2 linked regions of the Lonchura striata genome follow. The protein of the gene in region 1 binds, or shares a complex with, the protein of each later gene. Links are inferred from orthologs where the notes say so. Each region holds a gene or a part of one and is shown on either strand. Other genes may lie near its edges. The genes, in order: MAPKAP1 and MLST8.

Region 1 (15,598 bases):
TGACCAAACGATAATCAAGACACTTTATTCAATTTATTTTTTCCTAGTAGGACATTTATGAAGAAAAGCAATGTCATTGCCATAAGGACAGTGCAAACGACCAAACGTTCTGCTGCACGGCATCATTTGTAATACATCTGCTGGCAATTAAAAAAATACATTCAAAAGTACAATCACTGGGTCGATGACAAACCTTGGTACTGAAGCATGAGATGGAAGCAAAAGCCAAACAATTTAAGCTGAGCTGGATGCACATAAACGCCCAGCTCTGACTTCTTCAGGTAGTCAGGGAACAACAAAATATGTATTTAGCAGCTTCAAAAAAAAAAAAAAATCAGGACTGCACATAAATATTTTAAAGAGCTAAAGTAAGTAACAATAACATCACAGCTGATATTTAGAAAATAGCCAAAATACACACGCACACTCTCACACACAGGCACATACACGTATGCTATCAGTGCCATGTCATTGTTCCATCAGAATCCTCTGGTGCTCCGGCAGGATGGAGGGTTATAGCGTGTTTCTGAGAGTTGTTGGCGCTAAACGCGAGTTTACAAGCGCAGGGGAGTTGGAATTCGTGCAGGGCAGGGCAGGGTGGCTTTCCCAGCCCCACGGCGCCGGCAGGGGCTAACACCTCAGCTCTGCCAGGGCCGGGCAGGGGCAGCGCTGCCCAGCAGTGCCCTGGCCGCGGTTCCAGGCTGCAGCACATCGACAAGGGGCGGTCCTGAGCAGCGGCCAGCTCATCAATAAGGAGCTGTGCAGCCAGGCAGGGCCCGCTGCAGCCCTGTCATCACAGGGACGGCAGCGCACGGCTATTTACAGCTGCGGCGATAAAAATAAAGGTAACTCACACGGCAACAGCCAGGAGTTAACCCCGCGGCCAACACGCGGTCTGTCTGCTTTTCAGAGATTTTTTATTCATTCTTTAAAACAAAAATCTATGCAAGGGGAGAACGTTCTTAATGAACATTTTCATCCTCTCTCTTTAGACATAAAAAATAGTTGCAGCAGCCCGAGCAGCCGAGCAGGCCTTTCGCTTCCCCTGCGGACACCTCCTGCAGTCGAGAAGTTCATTAAGTTTTATGATCTTCCCAAGTCAGTCCTGCTTATAAGCCTCACAAAGGCCACAAATCTGGCAAACCATCATGTATGCCATTAGGCTTTACTAGGAAATGAATGCTATTTAGGGGTGGTGGTGACAGTAAATTCGGGGTTGGTTGGCAGCTATCATTGTTGCTGCTGGACTTGGGGAAATAAATAAATAAATAAATAAATAACTATAGATGTGTGCACAGTTATGCACATGAATTCAGACATTTTTATAAACCTGTGATCCTGTCTCTGTAAATGACTTTTAAAGACAAAAAAACAAATTATCTATCAGCACAGTCCAGGACCTAATAATATGTTTCTCCATTGGGAAATAAATGCAATTCCCTAAGACATTTTAAGACTGCAAGAATTAATATATTTTCACTTCTTTCTCCATAAGAATAACCAGGACCCCAGGTTGAGCAACATCCTGGAGGAAGCTTAATAAAATCACCAGTCTGAAGGTGTTTCAGTCAGTAAAAAAGAGCTATTTAAAAAAAAAAAAAAAACAAACAATGGTGCAAATCAGTTTTTGATTCCTTCTGGTAGGATGTGAGGAAACAGAGTGTGACACAGGTATGCAACAGATGTGAGTGTGCGTCCAGTGACACCTCGGAGAGCAGGCAAAGCACAGCCAAAGGGAGCCACTGCCTCCTCACTTGCTTATCTTCCTATTTTATTGGAGGGGCTTCGGTAGAACTCTGCTATAATTTTTCTTTGAACTAATTAAAGCCAGAGGTGGCAGTTTCTTTATGAACACCATGCTACCTTGTGGTTGCCTCTCAGAATACACACAGCTATTAATAGTTGTAAAGCACTTAAATGTATTATGCAGCACTTTTGAAAATGTTAAAATGTTAAAAAAGAAATGTCAGGCTAAATTCAGTAACTCAGTGATTTGCTTTGTACATGGTAAATACCTCACAGGGAGAAAAAATAAAAATCTTCAGCTCCTGACCCTGTGTGAGGCTTTCAGAAATGAGATGTATCCATTAACCCTTGCTGGGAAGTGACAGAGTGGCTCCATGCAAACTGAGGATTCCTTCTCATGCTCTCTCCCAGCCAGTCTCACAAAGTCCTTGCTGACTGTACTGAAAACTACTAAAATGCAAATAAATACATAATTCAATATAAAAATTACTTAAATACCGCATGACTTGTTTCTGAACAGACATGACATCCTTCCATGGAGGAAGACAGTGATGAAACCACCATGGCAATTCCCACACCCAGGAAAACTTTGGTTCTGATCAGGAAGAATTAAACGCCAGCACACGACCCCATCGGAGATAGGTTTAAGCACCTGACAGTTGTCAGACCACAAGACAATGCAGAGCCCTAGGCAGAGAGGGGGACACCTCTGCCTTAACTGCATCTCAGACCTTTCCTCAAGCTTCCAGTTTAGAACTGAGCTGTTCCCTCCGAGAACAGCTTCCAGAAAACAGGCTACAATTTATTTTCACGTTTTCTTTGCTTTAGCACACTAAGTAAAGCCTGCACAGACATTTCACTTCAACTGGGAGACCCTGAGTGAAGGTCCCCTTCTGGGAAGAGTTTTTGGTGGAGGTGTGGATCCATCTCCATCAATCACTCAGAGCATTAATCGCGTCCCTCCCGTGATGCCAGGGCTGGCAGGAGCTCGCCTTTGGGCAGGCAGACGCCTTCACTCTTTGTTGGTTCTCAGCGATCTCACAAAAGAGGGATAACTTGAAAACTTGCTCGACTTCTTGCAGCACAAATGCAGCATCCCAACGTACAAGTTATCACTGAAACACCCCAAAAGGTTTCAGACCACAGAGTCTGTCGTCAGGTTCCCCCTCGCCTGCGAGACGGCGGCGGCCTCACAAACACCCTGTGCCAGTAATCCCACTGCTGAAAGGACTGGGGCTTTCTTCGCAGCTCACCTCTGACATGTGCCTGACTACGCTTGCCTTTCAAAACACTGAGGCTAAGCCCTCTGCAAATAAAGTGACCGCGGGACCTACGCCTGCCTCCTTAATTGAAATGTGCTCCTGCAAATGTCTGAACACCGAGGGCAGGTTGCTCTCTGGCTCCGGAGCAGGACGGGCAAAGAAGTTTAGGGAAAGGCAGGAAACAAACACACAAGCCAAGGAAAGGGGTTACGAGCCGACCGAGGAGGAACGTATATAGGTGGGAAGGGAGAGGGATCATTCCCCTTATCCCGGGTAATATAATGCAACATAAAGCAGAATCAATCTTAATATTCACAACACAGTCAATACCCTAGTGCTTAGCTGTCAGCAGGAACTGAAGTGGATCCCCGGTAGCAAAGAAACCCTTGGACATAAAGCACCATAATTCACAGAGAACCGCTCACTCCAGGCTCCACAGCTCAGATTTGCAATGATTTCACGTTGGGTTGTTTTCATCCAGTTTTATTTTTTCAGTGTGGAATTAAGCAGAACGTTACTGAGTATCACATAGAACTAAAAAGCCAGGCAATGGCTTAAGCTGTATGTGAATAATTGGCTATTCATTTTTAAATCCAGTCATAATAAATGTTTTTGTTATTGTTAAATGTTACTATTGTTAAATTTTATTATTCTCATTATTATTATTTTCATTAAATGTTCTTGTTCTCGTAATACAAAGCAGAATACTTTGTAAATTTTCTTCTTTAAACAAACAAAAAATTCTATAAATTCAGTGATGTGAAAAAATTGCAAAAAAAATCTCCTAGATCACCCACAAGAAAAGCACGGAGTTTATTTCTGTCGCGTTAATGTAGACGAAAAAAAAAAAAAAATACCGGACTTTGGAGATTTTTGAGAATTTTGGCGTTTAAAAGCCCTGCGCCGGGAGGCGCCGGCGCAGCGCCGGGCTCGGGAGCGGGGTCGGGGCGCCCTCGGCGGGGCCGCGGGGGCTCGGCTCGGCGCTGCCGCCCCTCGCGGAGCTCCCGGTGCGGTGCCGGGGTTAAACCCGCGGGCACAGCGCCGCGGGCTGTCCTTCACACGCCGCCGGACGGCTCGGCGGGGCCGGCAGCGGGCCCCCCGCGCCATTTCGCGGCGCTGCCGCCGCCCCCCGGGCCGCCGGGCGCCCCCGGCCCCCGCCCCGGCGGCGAGAGCGGCCCGGGCCCGGCGCGGCGGCGGCGCTAAGATGGCTGCGGCGGCGGCGCGGCGGCCCGTACCTGTTTTCTCCTTGATCTCGCAGAGGACGCTGAACAGGGCGGGTTTCATCCTGTGGCAGTTCAGGGCGTGTTTCCTGCAAGAGAGCACAGGACAAGCGGTTAGCGCCGGGCTCCGGCAACATGGCGCCTTCCCCGGGCCGCTCGCCCCCCGGCCGGGGGTCCCGGGGCCGCGGGCGGCGAGGGCCGGCCGGAACCTCCCTCAGCCCGCTTCGCTTCGTGCGAATTATCTTTGTGCAAACACCGCCCGAACGAGGGGGAAAAACCACCCCCCTCGTCCCCGTCCTGCGATATTAGACCTGATTTATTAAGGAGATTGGGGAGAGGGGGGGGGAGGTGTACAGAGTTAACATTGTTTTTGTATTTATTGTGATTGAATAGAGCCGGGGTTTGGTTCGGGCTTTATTCACACACACACACCCTCTCCTGCAGCAGTATCTGGTCAGATTTATAATTCATCTGCTGCCGCTTTGAGACAAGAAAAGAAAGAAAGAGGCAAAGTTGTACTTTGAGGGATGGCCGGACGGACAGACGGATGGACGGCGGCGCAAAGGCCGGTATCCACCGGGCAGCGTCCAGCGGGAACGGGCAGGGACCAGCCACAGCCTCCCGCGCACCACACCGACGGCAGAGCCATCGCATACTTCTACATTTATCATAGCTTTTTTTTTTTAAGGAAAGAAATCATTAAATAGCAACTTGGCTCTGCCTTGGCTGCTGGCAATTTCTCTTACGGCCCCAAGAAGTTGCTCTTAATTGTGAGACTCCGGGTCTCTGCAGAGGAACAGGAAGGAGAGAAACAAAAACCACACACACACACCAAAAATAATTAAAAAAATAATAATATTAATAATAATTTTTTTAAAAGACAAGGTTTAATTAGACGAAACCAACTTTGCTTGTGCCTCATCCAGGCTTTGGTCAGTGATGGTCATGATCTGATGGAGGATGTCGCCGATGTCCTGCTTCCTGCCGTCGCCGTCAGCCCCTTCGTGTCCGTGGGGAGGCGGCAGGGCCATGCCCCCCTGCACCGAGTGCCCGGCCAGGTTCACGCCGGCCAGAGTCTGCAGCATCCTGGACTGATCGTCCATGGCTCCGGGCCGGGCCGCGCTCCGGGCGGTCACGGCAGCGCCTGCCCCGCTCAGTCCCAGTGCCGCGCTCCTGACCGCGCTCTGCACACACACCACGAAAAAAGGGAAACAGGAAAAAAAAGCCAAACAAAACAGTAACAAAAAAAATGTAGTATTTGTGTTTTGACCGGATCTCAGCTGTTTATTCCACTCTCTTCTCCTTCCCAGGGCAGTAAATCACTCTCTTCTTTAGTTACAATCTTCTTTCATCATCATCATATTGGTGCCTCGGATAAATGAGCTGAGCAGATTTCTGTGAGATTTTCCTGGTACAATCTTCCTCCAAAGCTTTTTTTTTTCCTTTTTTATTTTTATTGTTGCTTTTTATGTCTTTCCCCACTTGTCCAAAAATCTTCTTTGCAAAAAGGCAAAATTAAAAAAAAAAAATTAAGTACAAAATCAAAAAAACTCGCTTTCAAATCCTTCAGAAGTTGGGAGGGTGCAAACAGCAAAAACCACAACAAACCAGCGAACACCCCCACCCCCAAATTGCAACATAAAAAAAGCCAAGAAAACACAATCACAGAGGGAAAAAAAAAAAATTAATCGCCCTCCCCCCCAAATAACAAACGATCCCAAGTCTGTGCACGGGGGTGAGACAGCAGCAATCAAAAGTTTGAACTTGTGCAAAGAAAAGAGCGGAAATAACGGGGAAAGAACTGTAAAAAAATTAATTACACACTCTCTGCAAAGCAATGTGCAAAAATATCGGCCCGCCGGAATTTATGAGCCCCGCGCCCGGTGCCCGCGCGTGTTTTATGTTGTTTGATGGCCGCTCCGGTGAGGGATTGACAGGCTGCCAACGCCACTCACTCACCGCAGACGTGTCACCCTGTGAAGGAGCCGAGCGGCGCGCGAGAGGGAGCGGAGCGCCGGCCCCGCCCCGCCCGCCGGCCCCGCCCCGCCGGCCCGCCCCGGCCCGCCCCGCCGGCCCGCCCGCCCCGCTCCGCGCGCGCGGCCCTCCCGCCGGGCCCGGCGGCGCCCGCGCTCCGGGGCGGGCGGGAGGGGCCGGCCGAGCGCCAGAGCGACGGGCACGGCGGCCAATCGCCGCGCGAGGCCGCGGGGGCTGGCTGCGGCCTTGGCCAATCAGCGCCCGCACGGTGGTGCCGCGCCCGCCCGCCCCAGCTCGGGCCCCGCCCCGGGATGAGGAACTTGTGATTGGGCCGTTCGAACGGCGGCGTGGGCGGGGCGAGCGGCCCGGGCCCCGCCCCCGTTGCCGTGGTGACGGCGGGCCGGTCCCGCCGGGCCGGGCCCGGGGCCTCCCGAGCGCCCGGGCCCGGCCGGGCCTGCCCGACGGAGCCCCGGGGCCTCCCGAGCGCCCGGGCCCGGCCGGGCCTGCCCGGCACCGGCAGCGGCGGCCGTGCGATGGAGCCCTGCGCAGGATGAAGGGTCCCGGGCCGGTCTGTCGCGGCCCGTGCCCTGAGCGTGTCCCCGCGGAGAGCTGCGGGACAGGACAGGAGCCCTCGGCACAGCCCTCGGCTCAGGGCCTGCGTTACCGCGTGCAATTGCAAATTATCTTTTTGTAAATGTGCACAGAACCGCGGAAGCGGGAGGAGGAAAAGGCACAGGCAGCAAGGGTAATTACGACTTCATTCCCTTAGGATGTTACATGTAGATCGTTGCCACCTCCTCAGACTGTCCTCACGTGGGACACTGCCCCGTTCGCTCCTGCTTCCCTCAGGTTGGGCCATTTTGTCACACTTCGGGTAGAGCCACGGTTAAAACCATCCTTAGTTTGCTTTTTGTGCTCTGTCTGTGGCAGACAGTCTCAGTGGAGCCATGCCCGCACCCAGCCCTCATCCCCTGACCTTCCTGGTGGTCTGGCTGATGCCTCAGGCTGGCATCAGAGCAGAGCTGCCAGCTCGCCCCAGTCCCAGCTGGCAGCGCCATCCCTCACCTTCACTTGGGCCTGGATGTCACCGGAGCCCTTTACCTGGCTGGGGCCTCGGATGGCTGGTGCAGATGGAGGTGGCTCCTGGTCAACAAATCTGTGCGCTCACCGTCCCCCCATACAATTAGTAAATTCATTCACATTTCAATTACTTTACATCTTAACTACTCCATCATTGTCTGTCTTGAGCCAACGAGTTTTCAGGGTCATCCAATTTTACTAAGAACACTACCCCAAAGGCATTTTAAATCGGTATTTTTGTGAATATTTCACAGATGCACTTGCCCCCTGAGGGTGAAGTGCCACGGATGGAATGGGCAGATCCCCTAGCCCCTGACCCTGCCAAACGGGACAGGGCTCCCTGGCCCCTGCAGGGACCTGCTCAGTCTCACTGCATCAGCGGAAAGCTGCTCTTCTGGGTGATTTTGGTACTGTTTCAGGAGGCTGAGTCCAGTCACCCCAGAGCTCTGGGCTCTGCCAGCTGCAGCCAGGCACTCCTGTGACATGCCCTGTGCTGGGGCAGCTCCAGCTCCTGCCCTTACTGTGCTGTTGCCAGTCACTGGTACCTGCTCCTCCCGGGCCTTGGTGGCACTTGTGCCATGCTGTGCACTGTCCCTCTCAAAGGCAGCTGGTTTGCGTTTGTGCAGCTGCTGAGGCTGCCACGTTAGGCTTTCCTCAGGGATGAACAAGTCTCCTTGCTTGCACAGGAAACTGCGGAGGCTGCACCAGCAGGTCTGGAGAGGTGACAGGGACACAGAGCCAGCAGGCCAGGAACAGGCTCCCTGGGAACAGCTGGGAGCACCGGCAGCTCGGCTGTGCGCCCTGCTCAGCCCCGGAGCAGCGGGTAACCGGGGACACTGCTGACGGCCCGGGCGGCGCTCGGTGCCGGTCCGGGCACACTGACCCGTGTGGGGTTCATCCCCTTCGTGTCTGTACTTGCGTGCTTGGCCTCAAATCACCAAATAAACACAAACGTCACCGTGCTTTTAGCAACACACTGGCAATAAAGCCAGTGCGACCCCCGTGAGAAAAGCGTCCTGTGTGCTGCCGTGCGGCACCGGGGAGCGCCGCTCGGCCGCGGTGTCCCGGTACCGGCGCGGGGCATCCCGGGCAGGGCGGCTGCGCCCGCCGAGCCCGCGGCCCGCTGCCGTGCCCGCGTGCGGCCCGCGCCGCCGGTACCGCCGGTGCCACCGCCCCGCCCGTTCCGCGCCGTCATTTCCGCGGCCGCGGCGCTTCCGGGTCCCGCGGGCGCCCGTTCCGCCGGACCCGGACCCGGAAGCGGCTGCGCGGCCCCGCGGCGGCGGCGCCGGTAAGTGCGGGGCGGGGGCGGTGGTGCCGCGGCTGCCCGCGCTGCCAGTCCCTCGCCGGGCCCCGCGGGATGCCGTGACCGGCGGCAGCGGCTGCCAGCCCGCCCGGGACGCGGCTCGGGCACCGGGGCTCCCGGGGCGCGCGGGCGGGGCCGCTCCCGCGGCTCTCCCGGCGGCGGGGCAGACGGAGCGGGTCCGGCCGCGATGGGCGGCGGGGCACAGGTGAGTGCGGCGGGAGCGGCGGGCACCGGCACGGTCCGGCGGGCCCCCCGGGATGCCCTGGGCGTGCCCGCACTCCGCGGCAGCGGGAGGCACCCGGCTGCCCTGGGGACTCCGGCCGGTACCGTCTCTCCATCCCAGTCCCGTGCCCTGGGGGCTCCGGCCGGTACCGTCGCTCCATCCCAGTCCCGTGTCCCGGCTGCTCCTGCCGGCCGCGGCGAGGGCTCTGCCTGCCCAGTGCTCCAGGTGCGCTCTGAGCAGCATCGCACCCGAGTGCCGTTCCGCACCGGGCTCCCGGTGCTGCTCCCGCTTGCCGGTGCCATGGGAACTGTGAACACCACACGGGAGCGGGAAGGTGTCCGGGGGATGCAGCAACGAGTCCGTTTCTGTGCTAGTGGAAGTCTGGTAATTGACTAACCAGAGATGCCAGAGCCAAGCTTGGATATCCTGTGTGTGTTTAGCCGATTTTAGGTGTCAGGGAATTATCAGGTACATGCAAGACTGGGAATTAGACTCTCTCAGTTACTTTTCCAAATTCAGAACAGCTCCATTCACGGACACTTTTTTGGGTTAGATTAAAAATAAATTGGGATCAGCATGTACGTACATATAGACTTGTACAGAAATAACTGAAGCAGGGAGAACCAGTTTAGCCAATTTCTGTATCAGTAATGTTTCACATCTTTGTTGTAACACCCTTTCCTCATCTGTTGGTTACATTTTCACCCATTGCAACATGTAACAAATTTAGAATAACAAATAACAGATGTTAAAATAACAAGTAACAGCTACATTCTTGTTGTGCGTTTCCTTTGGATCGGAGAAGGCCTCTGCAGGTGGAGCAGCCTGGCACAGGGATCTGTGTTATGCGTTCTGTAGCACGAAATTTTCCCGGCCATTCGAAGTTGTGAGCGTGAAAAGCACACACCTGTATGGAAAGGTCAGTTATGGCAACCAATGGCACAGCACATGGGCAGCGTGCTGGCCACATCCCCAGGTAGGAGCAGCCCATCTCCCACGTGGTCAGTCTTTTTGGAGATCACACAGTCACTGAGGCTGGAAGAAACCTGTGAGATCATCGAGCCCAGCCTCTGACTCACACCCCTTGTCAGCCAGGCCGGAGCACTGACACGTCCAGTCTCTCCTTGAACTGCTCAGGGCTGCTGATTCCACCACGTCCCAGGGAGCCCCTTCCAACCCTGACAGCCCGTGGGGTGAAGAAATTCCTTCTGATGTCCAAGGGCAAATGGCACTGGCTGAGAAGTGGGGGTGGAGCTCAGGTGTCCACATTTGCTCCCATTCAGGTGCTGGAAGGGGCAGTCTGGAGCTGAGGAGCAGAGCCCGGGGCTGTCAGTGCTGGTCCCACTGCTGGGACTCCCCGCAGGGAGGGGCTGCCTCAGGGGTGGCAGCAGCTCTCCAGGGCGTTTGTTAGTGCCTCTGACACGAACTCCAAGTTGTGTTTAATATTAACTCTGTGTGTGTGTGAGCTGAGGAGCTCCATCAGACTGTGATGCCTTGTTGTTCACTGTCTGTCAGCTCAGTTTTATATCCCAGACTGCAAAAGGGCAATCCCTACCTTGTTTGCTTATTGCCTGAGAAGTGTTGTATCTAAATCCATTATCCTGAGAGCAAAACAAAGCTCCTTGAATATGTTTTGTGTGCTCTTGAAAGAGACAGACCCAAATTTAAAAGCCAGAGAAACGGGGGATTCATCTTTTGCTGAAGAAATGTGAATCTATTCAGTTTCATTTGACATAAAGTCCCAAAGGGACTGAAGGTCTCAGGCATTTTTAAGGAGGTCTGATCATGAGTATTTCTTAAGTCAGAAGCAGCTTGCATGCTGCTATATTTAAAAAATAAGATATGATCATGTTTTTAATGCAATAAAAATATTTATGTACACTCAAAAGTAGAATGGCAACAACCTAAAGAAACTGTCTGACAGAGACCCAAGTGTTTGTTTTGACAGGTGCTGCTGTTTAAGGCACAGCCCCCTGCCTGGCAGTGTCAGAGCAGCCTCCCTGGTGCTGCTGCAGAGCAGTGCAGTGGCTGTGCTGCGAGCCCCTGGGCTGGCTGGGCCTGCCTCGTGTCCCCAGGCTCTGTCCTGGCTCCAGACAAGGCAGATTCTATGAGCCTGGGGGCCTTTTGGGTGTAAAACCCAAAGAGAGTAGCATCTCTCTCAATAGCAAACAGGCAAAAAGGTAAAATGGTGAAGCTTTCTGGTTCGGCATTTTTTATTTTTTTAAGATTGAAGCTTGTATTGATGTTTATGAAATTTATTAAGTTTTTTAGGTCCCTGAATATCACACTGAGAATTGTGAAAATAGAAGCTCTAGTCTGATATTCAAGCACTCCTAGCCTGTGCTTTCATTCTCCACTCTACAACAAGATATTTTGTTTATCACAGAACCCAAGAGTGGTTTGAGTTGGAAGTGAGTTCAAAGCCCACCCAGTGCCACCCTGCCCTGGCAGGGACACCTTCCACTGTCCCAGGTGCTCCCAGCCCCAATGTCCAGCCTGTCCTTGGGCACTGCCAGGGATCCAGGGGCAGCCCCAGCTGCTCTGGGCACCCTGTGCCAGGGCTGCCCACCATCCCAGGGAACAATTCCCAGTTCCCAATATCCCATCCAGCCCTGCCCTCTGGCAGTGGGAGCCATTCCCTGGGTCCTGTCCCTCCATCCCTTGTACACAGTGTGTCTCCATCTTTCCTGTAGACTCCCTTCAGCTGCTGGGAGGCTGCATTTAGGTCACTCCTGGGCCTTCTCCAGGCTGAACAAGCCCTGTTCTCTCAGCCCTTCCTCATAGCAGAGGTGCTCCATCCCTCTAATCATTTTTGTGTCCTCCTCCAGACCCGCTCTAGCGGGTTGATGGCCTTTAGGAATGGTCAAGCTCAGCAAACTGTCTTTAAAGCAATTTAGGCATATGAGTGGCAGAAAGCGTTCCATGGAAAAGCACCTTTGTTGCAAGTGTTCCTTCCCAGCTTTCTGTGCAAAAGCCCATCAGCTTCACCTTCTCCTGGACAGGGATTGCTGTTCCCCTGGAAAAGAGTGTTCAGCAGAAATAAAAGTGAAATTAATGTTACGTGTTACTTACAAGGCCCTCTGGTTTTGTTTTGTTGTTTTAAAGGCAGCAGCAATTAAGCCTCAAACAGGAACTCAGACACTCAGATATTTTTTCTGGCTAGCAATTCTCCCACACACGTGCTGTGAAATTGGGTCAGGGGTTCTGGGGGTGTGGGTCACCCCAGTGTGACACTGCAGCTGTGCTGTGTGTCAGGAATGCCTGCAGACAGCATGGGAAAGCAAGCTCAATCAGAGACAGTAAAAATGAAGCGAGCGTTTGCACGTTCTCAGATGAGGCAGAGCCGGGCAGGACGCGGCGCTGGGAGCGCCTGGATCCCAGCGTTCAGCACAATATCTGAATGAAAAATGACAACACTTTGTCATCTGTTCAAATTGATATTGCACTCTCGGCTGTGACAGCTGAAAAGGCCCACAGGTGCCATATAAAGAGGTGACCATGTTGTCATATTTCATTTAGGCATCCCTCTGCAAAGCCATAATTACCTAATTAGGTTGTTAATTAGGAGATTAGCATTTCGCTATATTGATAGAATGCTCTTTGCAGGCATGAGTCTAGATACAGATTTGTCTGCCCTAATTTATGATCTCTGCATTTTTTATACTTATTTATTTGCTTAAAATCTTGATGCAAGATTTCTCAGGTTAGCAGAGAGTCAACTTGTCTGCAATTAAACAAAGATTTGACATGATCAGGAAAGAGAAGAGTGAATACTTCCCATACATACCCCAGTGTTTTTCCCACCTCTAAAGCTCAGTAATTAAAATATTGGAATTGGTGTCATTTGCATCCTGATTAGTGTGACAACAAAAGTATAGCCAAATTCCAAGCAGTTCAAAAATACAGAGCTAATGCCAGATTGATTTACAGGTCTGTAAATGAACAAATAATTTGTTGGAAGTTGTGTGTAATATAGTATTTGCTCATCATAACGTCCCAATTCCAGTCTCTCTTGTGAGAGAGCCTCTTTATATGACTGTAAATGATTATTTCCTTTTTAATGATAGGACTAGAGTGTGAGTGACAGCTTCTGCAGATAAGTATTCACTCTTAAATGCACTTGAGCTTTTGCTGAAACAGAAACTTGAATGTTCATATATTTCAGTTCACTTTCCTTTATCCTGCCTGCCCAGGACCTGTCTGTGTTTGAGGGGGTTGATTATTTTTGCTGCTGCAAATGCAGATAACCAGAACCATTTCTTGTGCAATTGCATAGAGAAGTTGACTGGGAAATTATTTCATATAACCTGAATCATAAATTTTGAAGTATGTTCATGCTGTCCTGCTTATATGACACAGGGGGGAAAATCAATTTTTAATTCTAATCTGCCTATCTTTTTTCATTAGTTTTTAAAGATCACTTTGAAGAGCTACAGTCAAGGAGGTGTTTGAGTACAGGGACTATGGAAGGCCCTGAATGATAACATGACCTGCATTGGTATATAATTTTTCCAGATTGCCATGTTTCGAGTTTGTTAGCATTGTCTTCAATCCAAATTGTACCTTCCACAAGTTGTGTCTTTGGAATACTTTTTTTTATTTTGAATAGGGCTTTAAATGTTTGTTACTTCCTTAAGGAGCATTGTCAATCTAAACAATATTAAAACAAACGAACAAAAAAACGAAAACAAGCTACAGCTTTGCAGAACATAAGGAAAGAAGCTTACTTTTTTAATTTAGAGAGGAAGATACATGGCAGGAATTGGCTTGAGAGTTTTGTGGAGAATTTGGAACTCCTTTTAGCTATTTGAAATAGAGAATTCTTAAAATCATTCCATTAAAATTGGTGGAACTTCAAAGTTGTAGCTCTTTCCCGCAGCAGAACATTTTTAGCTGCTGACAGCTTTCTCTGATTTTATTGTTTCTTGTAGCTTATTTAGAGGTCTGTGTATTTGAAAGCATGAAAAGCAAAAATATCAACCCTTCACTTAAAGAAAATATTTCCTGTAAGATGCCATAGAAAGGTGGCCCTGGCTTGTCATGTTAGGGCCACGTCCTGAAATGACATGTCAGATATGTGCTGGTGGCACCACAGGGCTTTTGGTGGAGCTGCAGATTCTGACCTGGAGCCTGCGACCTTTTGGGGACAGGTACAGGGCGTGGAAGTGTCTGTTGGCTCAGGTGTCACCTCACCAAGAGAAATACATAGTTCTGCTGGAAAATGTGACAGGACCTGCAGGAGGGCACAGGGCTGGGGGCAGTGGGTGGCAAAGGGGGGCCTCCAGCCATGGAGGTGAGACACGGCTGCCCTGGCTCTGTGCTGGTGTGGGGCAGTGACAGGGACGAGCCTCCTTCTGCTGGGCAGTGGGAGCAAGGCACTGTGTCCTCAGTCCTAATTCCACAGTGTTCATTTAAAAAAACCCAGGAAATGCATGCCAAACCAGCTGCATTTTCCCCAGCGTGAGGAGAGCTGCACTCAGCATTTTTCAGGCTCAAGGTCAAACGTTTCCCCTGCACAGGGCTGAGCAGGGCTGGCACGTGGCTGCAGTGCCCCAGTCAGTGGGTCCAGCACGGAGCCTGGCTCCAGCTGTGCCTGCTGCTGCCTGCGCTGGCAGCCGTGGGAGCAGGATGGATGGGGGGATGGCAGCCAGGAGGTGTAGCTTGTCCTTTCCCCAGTCTCACACTTGCTTTGATATCTCGTTGTCACCTCATGCAGGTGAACGTGCAGGTATGATACTCTGCGTGGGGCGTTTGGTGGGGAACCAGCAACGCCAGCCAGGCTTTATTTAAATAATTGCAGTACACCCAGCGAGCAGGAGGGTCACAAGAACAGTTAACGTGTTGTGATGATGAAGTTGCCTCCCGAAATTCAGCTGTGTTCAGCTGTGTGTTTAAGGTACAGCCTGCATGGCTGCAGATCCTTTTCCAAGACCTTTGTGTCACCTCCTGGCAGCGGAGTCGTTTGTTAGCACGCTCTGCATTCCTCATTGTGTGCGGGGTTATGAATGAGCCTGATCTGCATAAAGGCTGCTTGCCTCGCTGGGAGAGCCCGTCCCTGCCATAAATACAGCCGTGGGGTGCTGCAGGAGGAGCACTGCTGGTGAGAACAGGAGATGCGGCTGCCTGATGCTGCCAGAGTTGCTGAGGATCCTGGCCAGGCGTTCGGCCTCTTGATGGTGCAGTTGGACATGGTGGGGATGTTCTGTGGCTGCCCCAGCCCAGTGGGGCTGTGCTCCCCAGGGCCTCGGGCCAGGGCACAATCACAGCAGTGGGGAGAGAGAGCTTTCATTCCCAGGGTGCTGGTCAGACAATGTGCAGAAAGCTAGATAGGTGAATAATAAAGACCAGTGAAGATCTCTGTCCACTGTGTGATGATCATGGATGTTTGCCAATCGGTGCATCATGGAAACCCCAGCCTGTGTATGCTGTTGTACAGAAATACCAAACTCTACAATTTTGGGGATTTCACACTGCTCTCTTCCATTTTAGTGTTTGCACAGAGTATGTTTGACAGCTGCCTGCAAAGTGCTTTATTCAATAGAAGAGTGTTATTTTTATAGTGCAAGTATTAGAAGAACATTTATTTTTGTTTCTGATTAAAGAATGTATAAGATCTGATGCTTTGAAGGTCCCTGACTTCTGTTACATTCTGAGGATGTGGTGATGGTGTGTGGTTGCAGGAGTGCAGAAGGGGTGTGCTGGCAGATCGCAGCAGATCGAGACATTGATTTTGGGTCTGTGATTTTGCTGGGACCTTCAAGGTGTTTGTGTAAAGGTTTGCAAAACTGAA
Region 2 (14,982 bases), on another chromosome or scaffold:
ACCAGCCGAGCTCCCTCTCCCTGCACAGGGGAGCAGAGCTGTGGCCCCCCAGCAAGCAGCAGCATCTACAAAAATACTTTATTGTGCAGGGGATGCCGGGGCTCTGTACAGTGCAGACGGCAGCAGCGCCGTCACCAGCAAACAGACACACGATGGTGGCCCCCAAAACCGGGGGGCAGCGGGAGTGGGGGGGCTGCAGCCCCTACGTGGCCTTGGGCCGGCCCTTGAGGCGGATGATGGCCCGGTAGTCCCGCACCAGGTCCCGCAGCTGGTCCAGGTAGGGGTCGACGTTCTCCTCCATCCACTCCTCCACCGTGTCAGGGAAGTAGATCCTCTCCAGCTGGGCACGCAGGTCCCGGACAAAGCCCTCCCAGTCCTCATGGAGCCTGGAGGGGGGAGAGCAGGGCTGCAGCTCCCTCCTGCGAGGGACCCCTCGCAGCCCCGGGCAGACCCTCCCAGCCCCCAGCAGCACGTACTTCAGCACCTTGCTGCCAAAGCTCTCCATGTTGCGAGGGTTCCCAAACTGGCGCTTCCGGTGGTAGGGGCTGAACCAGCCCTTGATGGCACTGGAGAGGCACGGGGGACTTGGGGGCACGGGGGCCACCGGGGAGGGGGAGCTGCACATCAGGCAGGTTCCCTCCCATGGAAATTCAGGGCCAGAGGCACCAGTGCCGCTGCTGCCCCCGCTGTTACCTCTCCTCCTCCAGTGCCTTGAGGATGCTCTCCTTCAGGTGCCCATTAACCTGCTCCACCATGTGGTAGATCTCCACACCGGGGAACGCTCCCCTGCCTTCGCTGGGGAAAGGGAGGAGAAGGTGAGGGCTCGGCACGTGGGGTGCACTGAGCTGGATGAATCCCAGCACCCTGGCAGGTCTGGGACCAGGGCATTTGTGTGACCAAGCCTCTGCTTCCCTCCAGTGCATCCCTTCTGACACGTGCACGCACCAGGTGCTCTGCTCCAGCTGCACGCTCTCCAAGCCCAGCACATCCAGGACCTTCCTTTTTGCCTCTTCTGTGAAGCCCCCTGGGAGGGCGAGGAAAGGGACAGAAGAGCCAGGGAGACGTCACCATGGGGCTCTCCCCAGCTTCACACACCGCCGAGGCTGAGCGAGCTGAATCTCTTCCTCCTCCACCTCCCAGCTCCCCCAGCGCCCTGCCCAGCAGGGTGGGTTGGGCAGGCAGGGGGAGCTGGGGGTGAGCCCGGCCGTGCCGGGGGGCGGGGGGCTCACCGTTCACCAGGGTCTGCAGGCAGATGGCCAGCGAGGGGATGCTGACGGGCAGCAGCTCGCAGAGCACCGAGTAGTGATCGTACCTGAGGAACAGGGACAGCCACCACCGTGCCACCACCGTGCCAGCGCGGCTCTGCGGGCACCGGGAGGGCACGGGGGGGTCCCACCACCCCTCACCTCTGCCAGCCGGTGAGCACCACGCCCTGCAAGCGCAGCGGGGCCAGCCGTGGCACGGCCTGCATCACCTTCAGCCAGCTCAGGTGGTTTTTCAGGTGGTAGCTCAGCGGGGTCCAGGCCTGCGCCGGCCCCGTGGTGCCCTTGAAGGCGCTGGCGAACCAAACGGCCTCGAAGCCGCTCTCCACGTACTTGGCGAGGAACTGCTCTGCAGCGGGATGGGCGCGAGCCACCAGTGCCACTGTCCCCAGGAGGCTGCGGGGGGCTCGGGTGGGATCCCCCCAGCACCCCCGGGAGCCCGGCACGTCACCTTACCGATCTGCTCAGCCTCGAAGTCGGGCGCGTAGAACCACACCACGGGTGAGACGTGTCTCGCTATCCCGGCCTCTGCGGGGACGGCAGCGAGGGGACGTTGGTGCCGGCAGCAGGAGGGAGCCTCGGGCTCCTCACGCTTCCCCCAGGGCAAGGCGTGGGCTCCTGCTGGCACCGGGCACGATGCCAGCCAGGGTGGGCACAGAGCGGGTGAGGCTGAGGAGCCTGGCACAGGTGCCACCAGTGATGCCCCTGTCCCCTCACCCCGCAGGGCTCCCACGCTGATCTTCCTCAGCATGTCGTCCCACATGAGCACCCGCAGCCCCCAGTACTGCGCCGTGAGGAAGCCCAGAACCTCCTTGATGTGCTTCAGGTACATGGTCCCCACGTCGCCCTTGTTGTGGCTCATCCAGTTCTTGGAGTCCATCCCCTCCCCGAGATGGAAAACCTGGATTTGGGGGAAGGGAGATGCTCAGCAGCCCTGGGAGCACCCCCAGAGCCTGGGGTGAGCGCTGGGGTCCCCGCAGAGCCCCTGCCCACCTCGTCTGCACCGATGTGGATCCAGGTGGAGCGCCGGTGCTTCTCGATCACCTGGGACAGGATGCTCTTGAGCAGGGCCAGGGTGTCAGGGAGGTGGGGGTTGAAGCTGTTGGGGAAGCGCTCGACCTCCCGCAGGTGCTGGTACTTCTCGTGCTTGAGGATGAACTGTGGGGAGGAGCCCTCAGGGGGGTGTCCAGGGGAACCCCTGGGATCTGGGATGGGGAGCGGGACTGGGACCCTCTACCTCCACATGGCCAAAGGTCTGCACCAGGGGAACCACCTCCAGCTTGTGTTGCTCCGCCAGCTGCTGGATCCGCTCGATGTCCTCCTCGCTGGGAGGGCAGGGACAGGCTCAGCGGGGGATGCCAGGGCAGAGGGCACAGTGTGGGGGCAGTTCCCCTTCCTCCCCCTCCTCTGGCACCCTACCCACATGGCCCCAGTTGCCCCACATATGTGTGCACTTTACTGAAGGGCACAAACATTGACCTGTCAGGGCAGGAAGAGCTGCTGGTGTGCCCAGCAGCACAGCCTGGCACTCTGACCGCGGGTACCGTGGGCACGGCGCCGGGTGGGTCACACCCAGCCCCTGGCACAGCGGGACCCGAGGGGGCCGCAAGCCCCACGGCCAGCTCGGCACACAGCCCTGCTCACCTGTAAGCGTACGGGGACCTGAGGATTTCCAGCTCCCCCTTGAAGGGGAACATGTCCTCGTACTCCATGAGGACGCCGTTGGCTCCCAGCTGGGACAGGAGGGGGAACACCTGCAGGGTGGGCAGGGTGGGCTCAGCAGTGGGGATGGCACAGTCCAGGTGCCAGCAGGGCCGAGCCCCGTCAGTGCATCCCCGCCTTGGTCCCCCCTCCCTGTCCTGGGCATCCTCACCTGTTCCAGGTAGGAGACTCTGGGCGCAGCTCCCTTGAGATCCAGGTGGACCAGCCTCATTTCAGTGGCACTGACATCCCTGGAGACCTGCTGCTTTTGCTTCAGGGTCATTATCTTTGCTGCAGGGAGCTCCAGAACCTGGCTCTGGGGGATGATGTCCTGGACGACGTCACCTGTGTCCCCCCAGAACCCGCTGTCCTTGCTGACGTGCTTGTGCAGCTCCAGGGTAAAGCTGCAGGGAGTGGAGCAGGGGTGGGGGTGTCCGTGGGGTTATGGGGGCACCAGCTGCCCCCAGCACCAGGCACCACACAGACACAGCCCAGGGGGTGCCACAAACCCCGGGCTCCCCCCCCGGGGTCCTGCTGTCACCTCACCTGTCACGGAAGAGGAACTTGATGCCAGCCAAGGCAACGAGGAGCAGCACGACGAGGCGCAGCAGGTTCAGCCGGTGGCTCCGCTGGAAGGCCATCACTGGGACCTCTGGGGACACACGCAGGGGCTGGTACTCCGTGGCCAGCAGTGGCCACGGAGGGACCCCCAGCACAGGTGAGCCCACCCAGCCCCACGTACCGAGCCCTGCTGCCCTGCCCGCGGCAGCACGAGACCCAGAGAAGGGCGACATGGGGGCAGCCCCTCTGGCCAGCCTGCTGCCCAGCGGGGACGTGTGGCAGTGCCCCGAGTGTCCCTCCTACCTCGTGTGCCCCAGCGCGGGGCCAGAGGCCGGCTCCGCCTCTCCCTCTGCCCGCACGGGTGAGGCCGGGGCCGGGGCAAACAGGGCGGTGGCTGCAGGGCAGGTCCCCACCCGGGATCCCGGCCGGCTGCCGGTCACCCCCGGGCCAGGGCCGTGTCACAGGGCGGCTGGGTGGGCCGGCATCACGGGCTGGGCACGGTGCATCCCTGCGGGTAGGGAAGAGGTGATTGGGAGCCACCCGGGCACATGCCAGCACCGGGCTGCACCGGGATGGCACCGGCACGGCCGCGGCACTGGCACGGTGAGGGTGGCACCCGCAGGGCCCGCGCGAGAGGCAGCACGGATCCTCCTGGGAGCCACATTCAGGCACTTCTGCCCCTTCCTTCTCCTGTTTCTCCGGTTCTGGAGTGTTCGGGGAGGCCCGGCCAGGGCAGCGCAGCCCCCCCGGCCCCGCGGAACCGGCGCCGCCGCTGCCGCCAGCGCTCCCGGTGAGTTGCCAGCCAAACACACCCGAGCTCGGGGTTAAACTCAGCTCCTCCGGCAGACTGGGGAAGTGAAAAGCAGATTTTGGCAGCTGCGGGTGCCCAAGCGGCTCAGCTGATCGCGAGGGTTTTGTTTGCGTTACCAGAGCGCGGCGGCACCGGGGAGAGCCGCGCTGAGCCGCCCCGCGCCCCGAGCGAGCCCTGGCCCAGACACAGCCCCGGTCCCTCCCGACACGGGGGCTGAGCCCCCCGGAGCCCCCCGGCAGCAGGAGCTGCTGTGCCCAGAGCACGAGGCCCCAGCCAGGGCACAGGGCAGGACAGCGACGAGCAGTGGCTGGAGCATCCCCGCTCCATCCCCACGGCCCGGTGCCCGCGGGTACCCAGTGTCTCGGTGCCCGTGGGCAGGAGGAGGAGCAGGAGCCGGATTTTGGGGAGCACTGCACTCCTTCCCTCGTGGCACTGCAGCTCCTGCGCTGCGGGGGACAAATCTGGTTCCCGCTCCCTGCCGTGCCCAGCTCGGGATATTCCTGGCAGCTCCAGCAGGGATGTGCCGGGCTGGAGATCTCTGCCAGCCCAGGGGTCACCACTGCGGGCACGGAAAGGCACCGAGGGCACACAGGACGGGGGGCAGTGGCCCCTAGGCACGCAGCATGGGGAGCCCAGCACCCAGAAAGGCCATAAATATGCCAAGTGCTAATGGCGCTGTCATGGGAACACAGCGCCTGATCGGAACAGGGATAAATATTTAGACAGACGCTGTCAGCTCGCCAGGATTGGGTGTTTTTAATGCACGTTATCTTATTTAAATAGGGCAGGTTCTCAGGGCAGGAGCTCCCTGGCACTGCCAGGGCGAGGGACGGAGCGGGGGAGTCCCGAGGGGTGCCGGGGCAGCCGGGGCGCTGTCCCTGCGCCACGGGGACACCCCGGGGCAGCGAGGGCTCGGCCCTGGATGCCGCCCCTCGAACCGGCAGCTGGCCGCCAGCACCGGCTGTATTTGTGACCTCGCGTCCGCTGCTGCCCCGGGCCCGGGAGCTCGGGGAGCCCGCGGCTGGCACGGGCGGCCAGGCTGGCTCCCGGAGGGGCGAGAGCAGCCGCAGCCCCGGCCCCCTCCCTGCCCCCAGGGTGGGCTTTGCTGCCAGCCCCCGGCATCCAGCCCCGCTCACCTGCCCGAGCCCCCAGGAGGGGAGGGTGGACGCAAACAAACCCAAACCTGAGCCCGGAGGTGGCAGTGGCCGTGCTGGGGAGGGAGCCGAGGGTCCCGGGGGTGCCACTGCGTTCCGTGGGCAGGCAGCGAGGGTTTCGGTGCCCCCCCGCTGCCCGCAGCCCCGCTCCGGTGCTCCCCGGTGTTTCCACGGCGAACCCCCGTGCCCCGGCACCCCCGGCACCCCCGGCCGTGGGGCAGCCGTGCACGCTCACACACACGTGCACACGCTCACCCGCTTCCAGAGCATTCCATGGCCGGCCTGGCCGTGCCCAGCCCGTGCTGCCAGGCTGTGCCACCCCCCGGGACGAGCTGCCCCTCGCCAGGGGTGACAGGGATGCAGCCCCACAGCCGGGGACTGCTGCGTGGGGAGGCTGCAGGTCTCTGTGGGGTGCAACCCCGGCGCAGCAGGAGGGGGCTGCTCCCTCATCCCTGGGCACAGCTGCTCCCTGTCCCATCCCTGTCCCTCCCATGGAGCAGCCTCTGGGCACAAGGGACCCTTCCCACAGCCCACCCATCCCTCTGTGCTGCGGGGCACCCCCCACACCCCACAAACCCGGCACACCCCACAGCTTCCCACACCAAGGACACCTTGGGCACTCCCGCTCTCCACGGCACCCCTGAGACCCCGGGCACACCGGCGTCCTCCGCGGGCATCCCTGCATCCTCCCGAGCATCCCTGCATCCTCCCGAGCATCCCTGCATCCTTCCCGTGCATCCCTGCATCCTTCCCGAGCATCCCTGCATCCTCCCGAGCATCCCTGCATCCTCCCCGGGCTTCCCTGCGGCACCGGGGCCCTGCGTCCCCCCGAGCATTCCCGCATCCTCCCGGTACCGGTCCCCAGCACGGCGCCGCCATCTCCCGGCCCCGAGCATCCCCCGCTGCCCCGGCCCTTACCGGCAGGTGCGGGGCGGCCGCGGGCACCGCCGGGAGCGGGCACGGGCACGGGCACGGGCACGGCCGCCGCCGCCGCCGCCGCCGCTCTTAAAGGGCCCGGTGCCCGCCGGTGCGGCGAGTGAGGAGGGACGCACCGGGCTCAGCGGGCACCGTGCCCAGCGCCCCGGTGCCACACGAGCGCGGCGGGAGCACCGGCAGAGCGCGGAGCCGCTGTCCGCCCTGACCGGGAGGCACCGGCACGAGGGGCGGCCCCGGGGTGGCTCCGCGGTGCTCGGTGCGTGCCCGGTGTTGGTTCCCCGTTCCCGTTAGGGCCCGGTGCGTGCCCAGTGCCCACCCCCGCCCAGCAACGCCCGGTGTGTGCTCTGTGCCTGCAGCCCGGTGTGTGTCCCGTGTCCCATGTCCCATGTCCCGTGCCCCGTGTCCTGTGTCCCGTGCTTGGTGTGTTCCCAGTGTGTGTCCCATGTTTCATGTCACAAGTATGTGACATGAATCGAGCGGATCCAGCAGTGTGTGCCCTGTGCCCAGTGTGTGTCCTGTGTCCCATGTCCCCTATCTCATGCCCCACATCCCATGTCGCTTGTTCCATGCCTGGCATCCCATATCCCATACCCCATACCCCACATCCCATATCCCATATCCCAAATCCCAAATCCCAAATCCCACACCCCATATCCAACACCCCAACACCCATACCCCAACACCCATACCCCACATCCCATACCCCACATCCCATACCCCATATCCCAAATCCCAAATCTCACATCCCAAATCCCACACCCCATATCCAACACCCCAAATCCCATACCCCACATCCCACACCCCACATCCCATACCCCAAATCCCAAATCCCAAATCCCAAATCCCAAATCCCAAATCCCAAATCCCACGTCCCGTTTCCAGCACTGCGCCCCCTGGCGGCGCTGCTGCTCTCTCCCCCCGCCGCGCTCCGTGGTCTCGCCCGCCGCTCCCCCCGCGCCCGGGCCATGGTCCGTCCCTGTCGCCGCTCCCGCGCATGCGCGCTCCCGCCGGACGCTGCGCACTCGGGAGGCGCCGCGCGCACGCGCAGAAGCGGGAGCCGTGAGGGCACCGGGAGCGGACCGGGAGCGGACCGGGAGCGGACCGGGAGCGGGGCTGAGGGAGACCCGCGGGCCGCGCCGACACCCCGCGGCGTGAGGGCGGCCCCGCAGGCTTTAGGGAGCCCCCCGAGCGCGGCGGGAGCGGCGGCACCATGAACGCGGCGCAGGGCACGGTGGGCAGCGACCCGGTCATCCTGGCCACGGCCGGCTACGACCACACGGTGCGGTTCTGGCAGGCGCACAGCGGCATCTGCACCCGCACGGTGCAGCACCAGGACTCCGTATCCTTCCTTCCGTGCCCGGCGCTCGGGGGCGGGCCCGGCTGATGCTCCGTACCGACCTTAACGGGACCGCAGCAGGTGAACGCGCTGGAGATCACGCCGGACCGGAGCATGATCGCGGCCGCAGGTGCGCGCTCCTGCCGCGCCGGTGCTCGGCCGCGGTGCTGAGCCACTGTCCGGTGCCGGGCTGCTGCCCGGTGCTCTGCCCCAGCCTGGAGCTGAGCCTCTGCCCGGTGCTGAGCCGTGGTGCTGAGCCTGTGCCCGGTGCTCAGGCACTGCCCGGTGCTGAGCCGCTGCCCAGTGCTGAGCCGTGGTGCTGAGCCTCTGTCCGGTGCTCGCAGGGTACCAGCACATCCGCATGTACGACCTCAACTCCAACAACCCCAACCCCGTCATCAACTACGACGGCGTGAGCAAGAACATCACCTCGGTGGGGTTCCACGAGGACGGCCGCTGGATGTACACGGGCGGGGAGGACTGCATGGCCCGCATCTGGGACCTCCGGTGGGCACCGGGGCTTCCCCGGCCCGGCAGCCCCCCCGGGAGCCCTGAGCACCCCTGTCACACATCCCACAACCCCTGAGCACCCCTTCCTTATTCTGTCCCAGGTCCCACAACCCCTGAGCACCCCTCCTTCATTCTGTCACAGGTCCCGGAACCTCCAGTGCCAGCGCATTTTCCAGGTGAACGCTCCCATCAACTGCGTCTGCCTGCACCCCAACCAGGTGAGGAAGCTGCCTCCTCTGGGGTTCCCAGCTCAGAGAATCCTGAGGAACAGCGCTTAAAGCTCATCCCATCCCACCCCTGCCATGGCAGGGACACCTTGCACCATCCCAGGCTGCTCCAAGGCCCCTCCAGCCTGGCTTTGGGCACTGTCAGGGATGCAGGGGCAGCCCCAGCTGCTCTGGGCACCCTGTTCCTGTGTCACCTCTGGGTAAACCTGAGGGGCTGCAGAGATGTATCCCAGCAGAAGATGGGGTACAGCACAGCATGGGCTGGGGGCTTCACACGATGTGTTTGTGCTGCTGACCTGGTGGCTGTTGCAAAGGGACAGCACAGGGGCTGCACTGAGCTCATCCCACGGGAGGAAACGCCCTTGCAGTGGGCCCTGGGGATGTGATGGGAGCAAAGCTGGAAGAGTGAGGGCAGCTGGGGAGCTTGAGGGTGACAACACTGCCAGGGAAAAGCATCCTGGGGCCTTTGGCTGTGATTCCCTTCAGGTGGGGTTTGGTTGAAGTTCCCCAGTGGGTTCAGCAGCTGTTGCTGAGCAGAGGGAGAGCGGGGGCACTTGAAGAGGCTGAAGAGAGCACGAGCAGGGAAATCAATAGGGGTCAGTCAGTGCTAATGGCTGGGCTGGGCTTGCAGGACTGTGGTTTTTCCTGCCGACCATCCAAACCTCTCTAAAGTCCTGAGTCATGGAAATGTTCCCCTGCGTTTCATTTGGCAAAGGTTTAATTTTGCAAATCAGGAATTTCAGGCGAAATTTGAGATGGGTTATTTGGAGCAGACTACCCAAATCATGTAGACAATCCGCTGTCTTGTAGTGTCAGTGCTGTGAGAGTGTGTTGTGTTAAATGAATGTTGCTGAACATAGGTCTTTGATGTGAAATAATCCCTGAGCACGGTGCTGCTGAGGTGCAGAGTGCTGGTTTGTGAGCAGAAGATGGATAATTAGACCAAAGGTGGCAGCATTTGTTCGGGCAGTTCCGTGGCTCTGCAGTTCCCTCTGCAGAGATGCTGATCCAATTATCCAGAGATTCCTCACGGTCTGAGTAAAGCCATGAAAACTTTGGACTCATCATTTACACCTGCTGAGAGGGGGCTGAGGAGCTCAGAAGAGACTTTTGTGCAGTCAGATAAATGCATTGAGTGGTGTCTGTCTCCTTGGAAGCAGCCTCTGCTCCCAGAGACAGGATTAGCTGTGCCTGATGACCTGATCTCCTCTAGGGATTCTGCTAAAATTATGGACAGCGCAGGGCTGTCGATAAAGGCCTGCTCTGAGTGGAGACATGCCAGCATTGTCTTCTGCCCTGAGCACGGGATCAGAGCCAGGACTCCTGCCCTTGGCTCTTGTCCTTCCCCTGAGAAGGGGGGAGAGAGAGGAAAAACCCACTTCGGTTGTGTTTTTCTGGTATCTGCACCCTTGAGTGCTTCAGTTGTTCAGTGGCCAAGCTGCCCCTTACTGCTGCCTCTCAGACGTGCTGAAAACCACTTGGCTGCTGTGGGTGTGCCACAGCCCTGGAACCAGGACAGCTCTGTTTGCTCTGGGGTTTAGAAAATCAGCAAGCCCTTCTGGGGAGGGAAACAGCCTTTTTGTAGAGTGTCACGGGAGTCAGTACCCGGCTGGGATAGGCAGGGTGTGAAACAGCCCTGAGCTGGGGAGGGAGGAGGCAGGACAGGACCGTGCTGCAGTGGTGCTGCAGGGGCACTGTCACTGCTGAGGCAGGGCTGGGAATGATGAGACTCTTAAGCTTAGAAGGTAAAGAATGAACTTTATTAACAAGTACGTTTCTCTTTTATAGAGAACTTTGTGACAATTAATTTCATTGGTCTTAATTGGTCTTTCATTGGTCATTTTACACTATTGGTGTACTATGAATAGCACATGGTGGTAGAACATATCTACAATCAATATGAACAGAAAGAGAGATAATAGATAATTTAAATTTCTCTTGGACTTTTTCCCAGGCTTAGCCTGGTAGAAATCTCTCATTTTCTCTCTGATGCAACTGAGAATATCCATAGGGCACGACGTGGGTGCCAGCTCCAGGCTGCTGCTCACGGTGCCCACAGAGACACGGCCGTGTGCCCTGCAGGCAGAGCTGATCGTGGGCGACCAGAGCGGGGCCATCCACATCTGGGACCTGAAGACTGACCACAACGAGCAGCTCATCCCCGAGCCCGAGGTGTCGGTGAACTCGGTGCACATCGACCCCGATGCCAGTTACATGGCGGCCGTGAACAGCTCGGTGAGCTCCCCGATGGGCTGGCCCGGGCAGCCGGGCTGGGTTTGGGTGGGCATCCAGCAGCCCGGGCACAGCTCCCGCTGTGTCTCTGCAGGGGAACTGCTACGTGTGGAACCTGACGGGCGGCATCGGCGAGGAGGTGACGCAGCTGATCCCCAAGACCAAGATCCCGGCGCACACCCGCTACGCCCTGCAGTGCAAGTTCAGCCCCGACTCCACGTGAGTGTGCAGCCCCTCACCTCCCTCCCAGGGCAAACATGGGCCTTTTGGGGCAGGCAGGGGCCAGCTGTGCCTCCAGCTGTGCCTCCAGCTGTGCCTCCAGCTGTGCCTCCAGCTGGCTCCACACTGTAGGTCCCCAGGGAGGACCAGGACAGGGGGCAGGGGATGTGGCACCAGGGGGTTGCTGTCAGGGGTGTCCCACTCATGCTCCCTGAGCTCAGCAAAGTTTGCAGCCATGAGCTGTTCTGCAGCTGCTGCAGTGTGAGCTCCTTCCCACAGTCTGTTCAGCTGGAATCTGCTAAATCAGACTGTAAGGAGATCTGATTGCAATGGGAGCAGTACTCCAGGCTGGCACTGGCCCTGGCCCAGCTCTGTGGCAACCAGAGGCCCACAGGGGGACAGTGACTGATGAGGTTGCCCTCAGATGTCTCCTTCTTGCAGGCTCTTGGCCACCTGTTCTGCAGATCAGACGTGCAAGATCTGGAGGACTTCAAACTTCTCTCTGATGACAGAGCTGAGCATTAAGAGCAACAACCCTGGGGAGACATCCCGGGGCTGGATGTGGGACTGTGCCTTCTCCGGGGACTCCCAGTACATCGTCACAGGTGAGGCACCACCTGGGCTGTGCCAGGGCTCTGCAGCAGCCAGGCCTGCCCACTTACCCTGGCTGGGACATGGCCAGAGCCTGGGGCACAGGGCTGTGAGGTGGGAGCAGCCAGTTCTGCTGGCTGGAGCATTTTGTGCTGCTGCAGTGGGGCAGCTGTTGGAACTGCAGAGGAGAGCTCCAGCTGTGCTCTTCAGCTCCCAGCTCCCAGCCTGTTAGTCCCTTGACCACACCTGTGGTCATTTCCACACTCACTGCTCTCCAAAAGAATGAAACCCCAGAGAAATGCACTGAGCTGCTCTGCCTTGCTGGTCATCACCAGCCCTAAGGATGCCTGCATGAAGCAAGAGCAAAAATATTTCTTAGAATAATAGTAAAAAAAAAGCTTAAAAGGTAACATATATCCAACTCTTCTTTTCACTCTGTGTTCCAGCCTCCTCTGATAACCTGGCCAGACTGTGGTGTGTGGAGACAGGAGAGATCAAGAGGGAATACAGTGGCCACCAGAAAGCCGTGGTGTGCCTGGCCTTCAACGACAGCGTCTTGGGATAACAGCCACCTGTGGCAAGGACAGGACCTCTGCTTGTTTCCCCTTGCCAGACCCTCTCCAGAGCCTGGGACATGCTATGTACCCATCCCCTCCTGCACGGAGAGGGCTGGGGCTCTGACAGGGGCAGCTGCACTGCCTGAGGTGAGACCAGGCTTCAGCTCCAGGCAGCACATTGCTGAAACGTGTGTGGGAGGGAGTGGGACAGGGAGGCACGGTCCCACTGCAGGGACATAGGTACAGTTCAGCTGCAGGAATCCCTGGGGCATTGGCTACTGACAGCTCTGGATGTCCCTGTACCCCAGAGTTGGGAAAAAATAAAAGTCAGCCTTTGCCAGTGATGGGAAAGGCTGAGCAAAGAGGAGAAGCAGCTCTTGTCTTGGTTTGCAATCCCTTTATTCAAAGTGTTTCACAGAGTGACTTGGAGAGCTGCTCTCCTAAAGCCAACCACCCCCCAGATGTAACAACAACCACCTTGTGTTGAACAGAGCCTGGAGCCCCAAAACTCCAGCTGCTTCCCGGGATTCCTCTGGGCCTGGGTCTCCTAATTCCTATGGACGAGGCACAGCCCTGGAGCAGAGCTGCAGTGTCTGTGCTGGCAGTGCTGAGCAGAGGCCTCCTGTTTCTCTAAACTCTCCTGATCCTGTTTCTCTAAACTCTCCTGACCCGCAGCACGGAATCAGCAGGAAGCTCTGGGGATGTTGCAGGTGTTCCCTTCCTTGTGGAAGTCAGAGGCTTTTCAGGAATCCAGTTCAAGTGTGAGGGCAGAGAGGGCGGCCGTGGCTGCAGCACTTACTCGGGCAGGTAATAGAAGCAGATGGAGACACAGATGTTGCTGGGGAAGCAGATGTCAATGCACAGGTAGATGAGGCGCTGCTTCCCCGGGCCTGCCAAGGAGCAAGGACAGCAGTGAGAGCAATGCTTTGGTCCTGCAGCTGCAGAGTCCCCGGGGATACTTTGCTCCTGCAGCTGCAGAGTCCCTGAGGATGCTTTGGTCCTGCAGCTAGAGTCCCTGGGGAGCTGAGCAAGGGGAAAGCCTCAGGCATGACCTTTCTTACTCAAGCTGGAGTCAGATGGAGCAGGCTGACAGCTCAGCAGGCTGCTTTGGCTGAGGGTGAAGATGACAGGGATTAACCAGCGGTGTCTCAGGGGACAGCTCTGTGTGCTGGCTGTGCTGTGCTGCTGGGCAGCTCAGAGCCCATCCCCGTGCCACGGCTCAGGACAGGGGGTGGGTACAAGCCAGCACTCAGGGGTGGTGAACAATGGCCTGATTTTGTACTAGAGGTCACCCGTCCCTGTCCTGGGCCTTGGCAGCCTGTCCTGGGCTGCATCAGCTGCTGTGCAGCGGAGCCTGATCCTCTTAGAGGTGCTAGAAAAGCTGCTGCTTCCCCTGCCAAGGGCAGTGCCCCGCTTACCGTGCCCTCTGCGCACCCAGAAGATGGAGGTGTGCTCACACAGGGTCTGCACAGCCTCCCCCAGGCCCCTGGGCTCCAGCTGCTCCCCTGCCACAATGCCCAGGAACTCCCGGTAGAACTTGGTCTGGTTGTTGGGGTGCAGCAGCTGCTCAGCCTGAAAGAAATGGCGCTGCTGGTTCCTCACTTTGTCCCTCAGGCCCCAGAGCCCTGCTCTGGCTCCCAGGGCACCCCAGGCGTGCTCTGCAGCCCAGCAGGTTTCTCCTGCCAGCTGCCCTGCCCCAGCTCTCATTTTCTGTCTGTGGGTGCTGGCAGCCCCAGCACTACCCACTTTTACTTCCATTTAGGAGCCTCAGGGCTGGGCAGGTGCTTTCCTCTCCCTGCATCCCTTTTGGGAGCCTGTGTCCCTGCACTTCTCTGGGAGTAAGGTGAGGACCAAGGAGCCCCCAGGAGCTGCTGAGGAAATGGATAGCAGATGGCAGGGGCACAAAAAAATGTGGCTTTCTGTCTTCTGGAAACGGAATCTGCCCCTTCTCAGGCATCCACTGACACTTTGTTCCGAGGGTCCGTATACATGATTGCCTCCAACTTTCTTCCCTGGGAGTTGGTAACAAACCCCCCTTTGTTTTTCCTCCCCCAGATTTTTGAGCAGGTAACAGAATCCAGTGGGAGCAGGTGCTGCAGGAGCCCTGCTATTCACCTCCATGGGACACATCCCCCTGCCCCAGGCTGCTTCCCACAGGCATCAGAGTAGGGATAAACCCAGGAGCTGCTGCTCACAGCTGGCTGAGAGCCCAGCCTGGGGGCACAGCTTTGCTCCTGTGAGCAATGAATCCCTCAGAACAGGGGCTGCCACTGCTCCCCCCAGCTGGGAGACCCCTGCCCTGGCTCCCTGAGGGTGGAGAGTCACTCCTGCAAACCCACAGAGGGGAGAACGCTCAGCAGCCCTGTGCAAAGCTCAGCCCATCCCCCAGCTATCCCGGGAATGCTGCAGCAGCTGCTCACGCTGTGCTCAGAGGTGTTGAGAGCTGTCTGCAGGGTCTGCAGGTCCCAGGGGTCCATCCTCCTCAGGTAGCAGGCTCGCTGCTCCAGCGGCTTGTAGCACACGTAGCCCTGTGGACAGATGTGCCCCTTGGAGCAGGCAGCACATGCCCACCCCTCTCCCAGGAAACCCCCAAAGTGTTTCCCCTGCTCTGTGTTCACAACTAAAGGTGCAGAGGAAGGCAGCAGAGAGGAGCTGGGGAGGCAGAGGTGCCCCAGCACTCACGTTCCTGCTGTCGTACAGCACCACGGCGCTCAGGTTGCTCTGCGAGGTGATGTAGTAGGTGACGGTGCTCCTGGCCTCGTCCACCACGGCAGTCTGGTTCCTCAGCAGGTCCTGCTGGCCCTGGAGCGTCACTCGGAGGAGCTGGGAGCCAGCCTGGGCATGAGGGGCGGGAGGGCAGCACCCAGCATCAGCTGCTCCCTGTG

Evidence for each region.
Region 2: the proteins of MAPKAP1 (region 1) and MLST8 are in contact, whole or in part, in a cryo-EM structure (PDB 7PE8), measured with the Homo sapiens proteins. The link is inferred for Lonchura striata from reciprocal best matches to the Homo sapiens genes MAPKAP1 and MLST8. Residues at the interface, in NP_001006618.1 of Homo sapiens: Lys102, Cys103, Lys104, Asn105, Ile106, Gln107, Trp108, Lys109, Arg111, Asn112, Ser113, Lys121, Leu123, Phe124, Glu125, Lys126, Lys127, Ser128, Leu129, Gly137, Lys138, Gln139, Ser140, Ile141, Leu142, Val144, Arg145, Leu146; in NP_001186102.1 of Homo sapiens: Ala29, His30, Pro77, Ile78, Ile79, Ser80, Tyr81, Asp82, Gly83, Arg98, Arg110, Ile111, Trp112, Gln120, Cys121, Gln122, Arg123, Ile124, Asn139, Gln140, Ala141, Leu157, Lys158, Ile203, Glu206, Ser279, Gly280, Asp281, Gln283, Asp322.

What each region holds. Positions count from the first base shown.
Region 1 is NC_134624.1:10,800,349-10,815,946, reverse strand, and holds the start of MAPKAP1 (target of rapamycin complex 2 subunit MAPKAP1), read left to right. Parts: upstream 1-8,488; 5' UTR 8,489-8,570; intron 8,571-8,725; exon of another isoform or gene 8,726-8,790; intron 8,791-15,598. UniProt on the Homo sapiens protein: Component of the mechanistic target of rapamycin complex 2 (mTORC2), which transduces signals from growth factors to pathways involved in proliferation, cytoskeletal organization, lipogenesis and anabolic output.
Region 2 is NC_134618.1:17,028,874-17,043,855, forward strand, and holds MLST8 (target of rapamycin complex subunit LST8), read left to right. Parts: upstream 1-7,489; 5' UTR 7,490-7,635; coding exon 7,636-7,764; intron 7,765-7,839; coding exon 7,840-7,891; intron 7,892-8,105; coding exon 8,106-8,268; intron 8,269-8,413; coding exon 8,414-8,489; intron 8,490-10,580; coding exon 10,581-10,733; intron 10,734-10,824; coding exon 10,825-10,949; intron 10,950-11,390; coding exon 11,391-11,554; intron 11,555-11,986; coding exon 11,987-12,105; 3' UTR 12,106-12,467; downstream 12,468-14,982. Other genes in the region: hexosaminidase D, read right to left, coding at 203-386, 477-584, 694-795, 946-1,024, 1,230-1,312, 1,407-1,611, 1,719-1,790, 1,980-2,163 and 5 more; BRICD5 (BRICHOS domain-containing protein 5), read right to left, coding at 12,893-12,987, 13,516-13,669, 14,518-14,625, 14,780-14,932.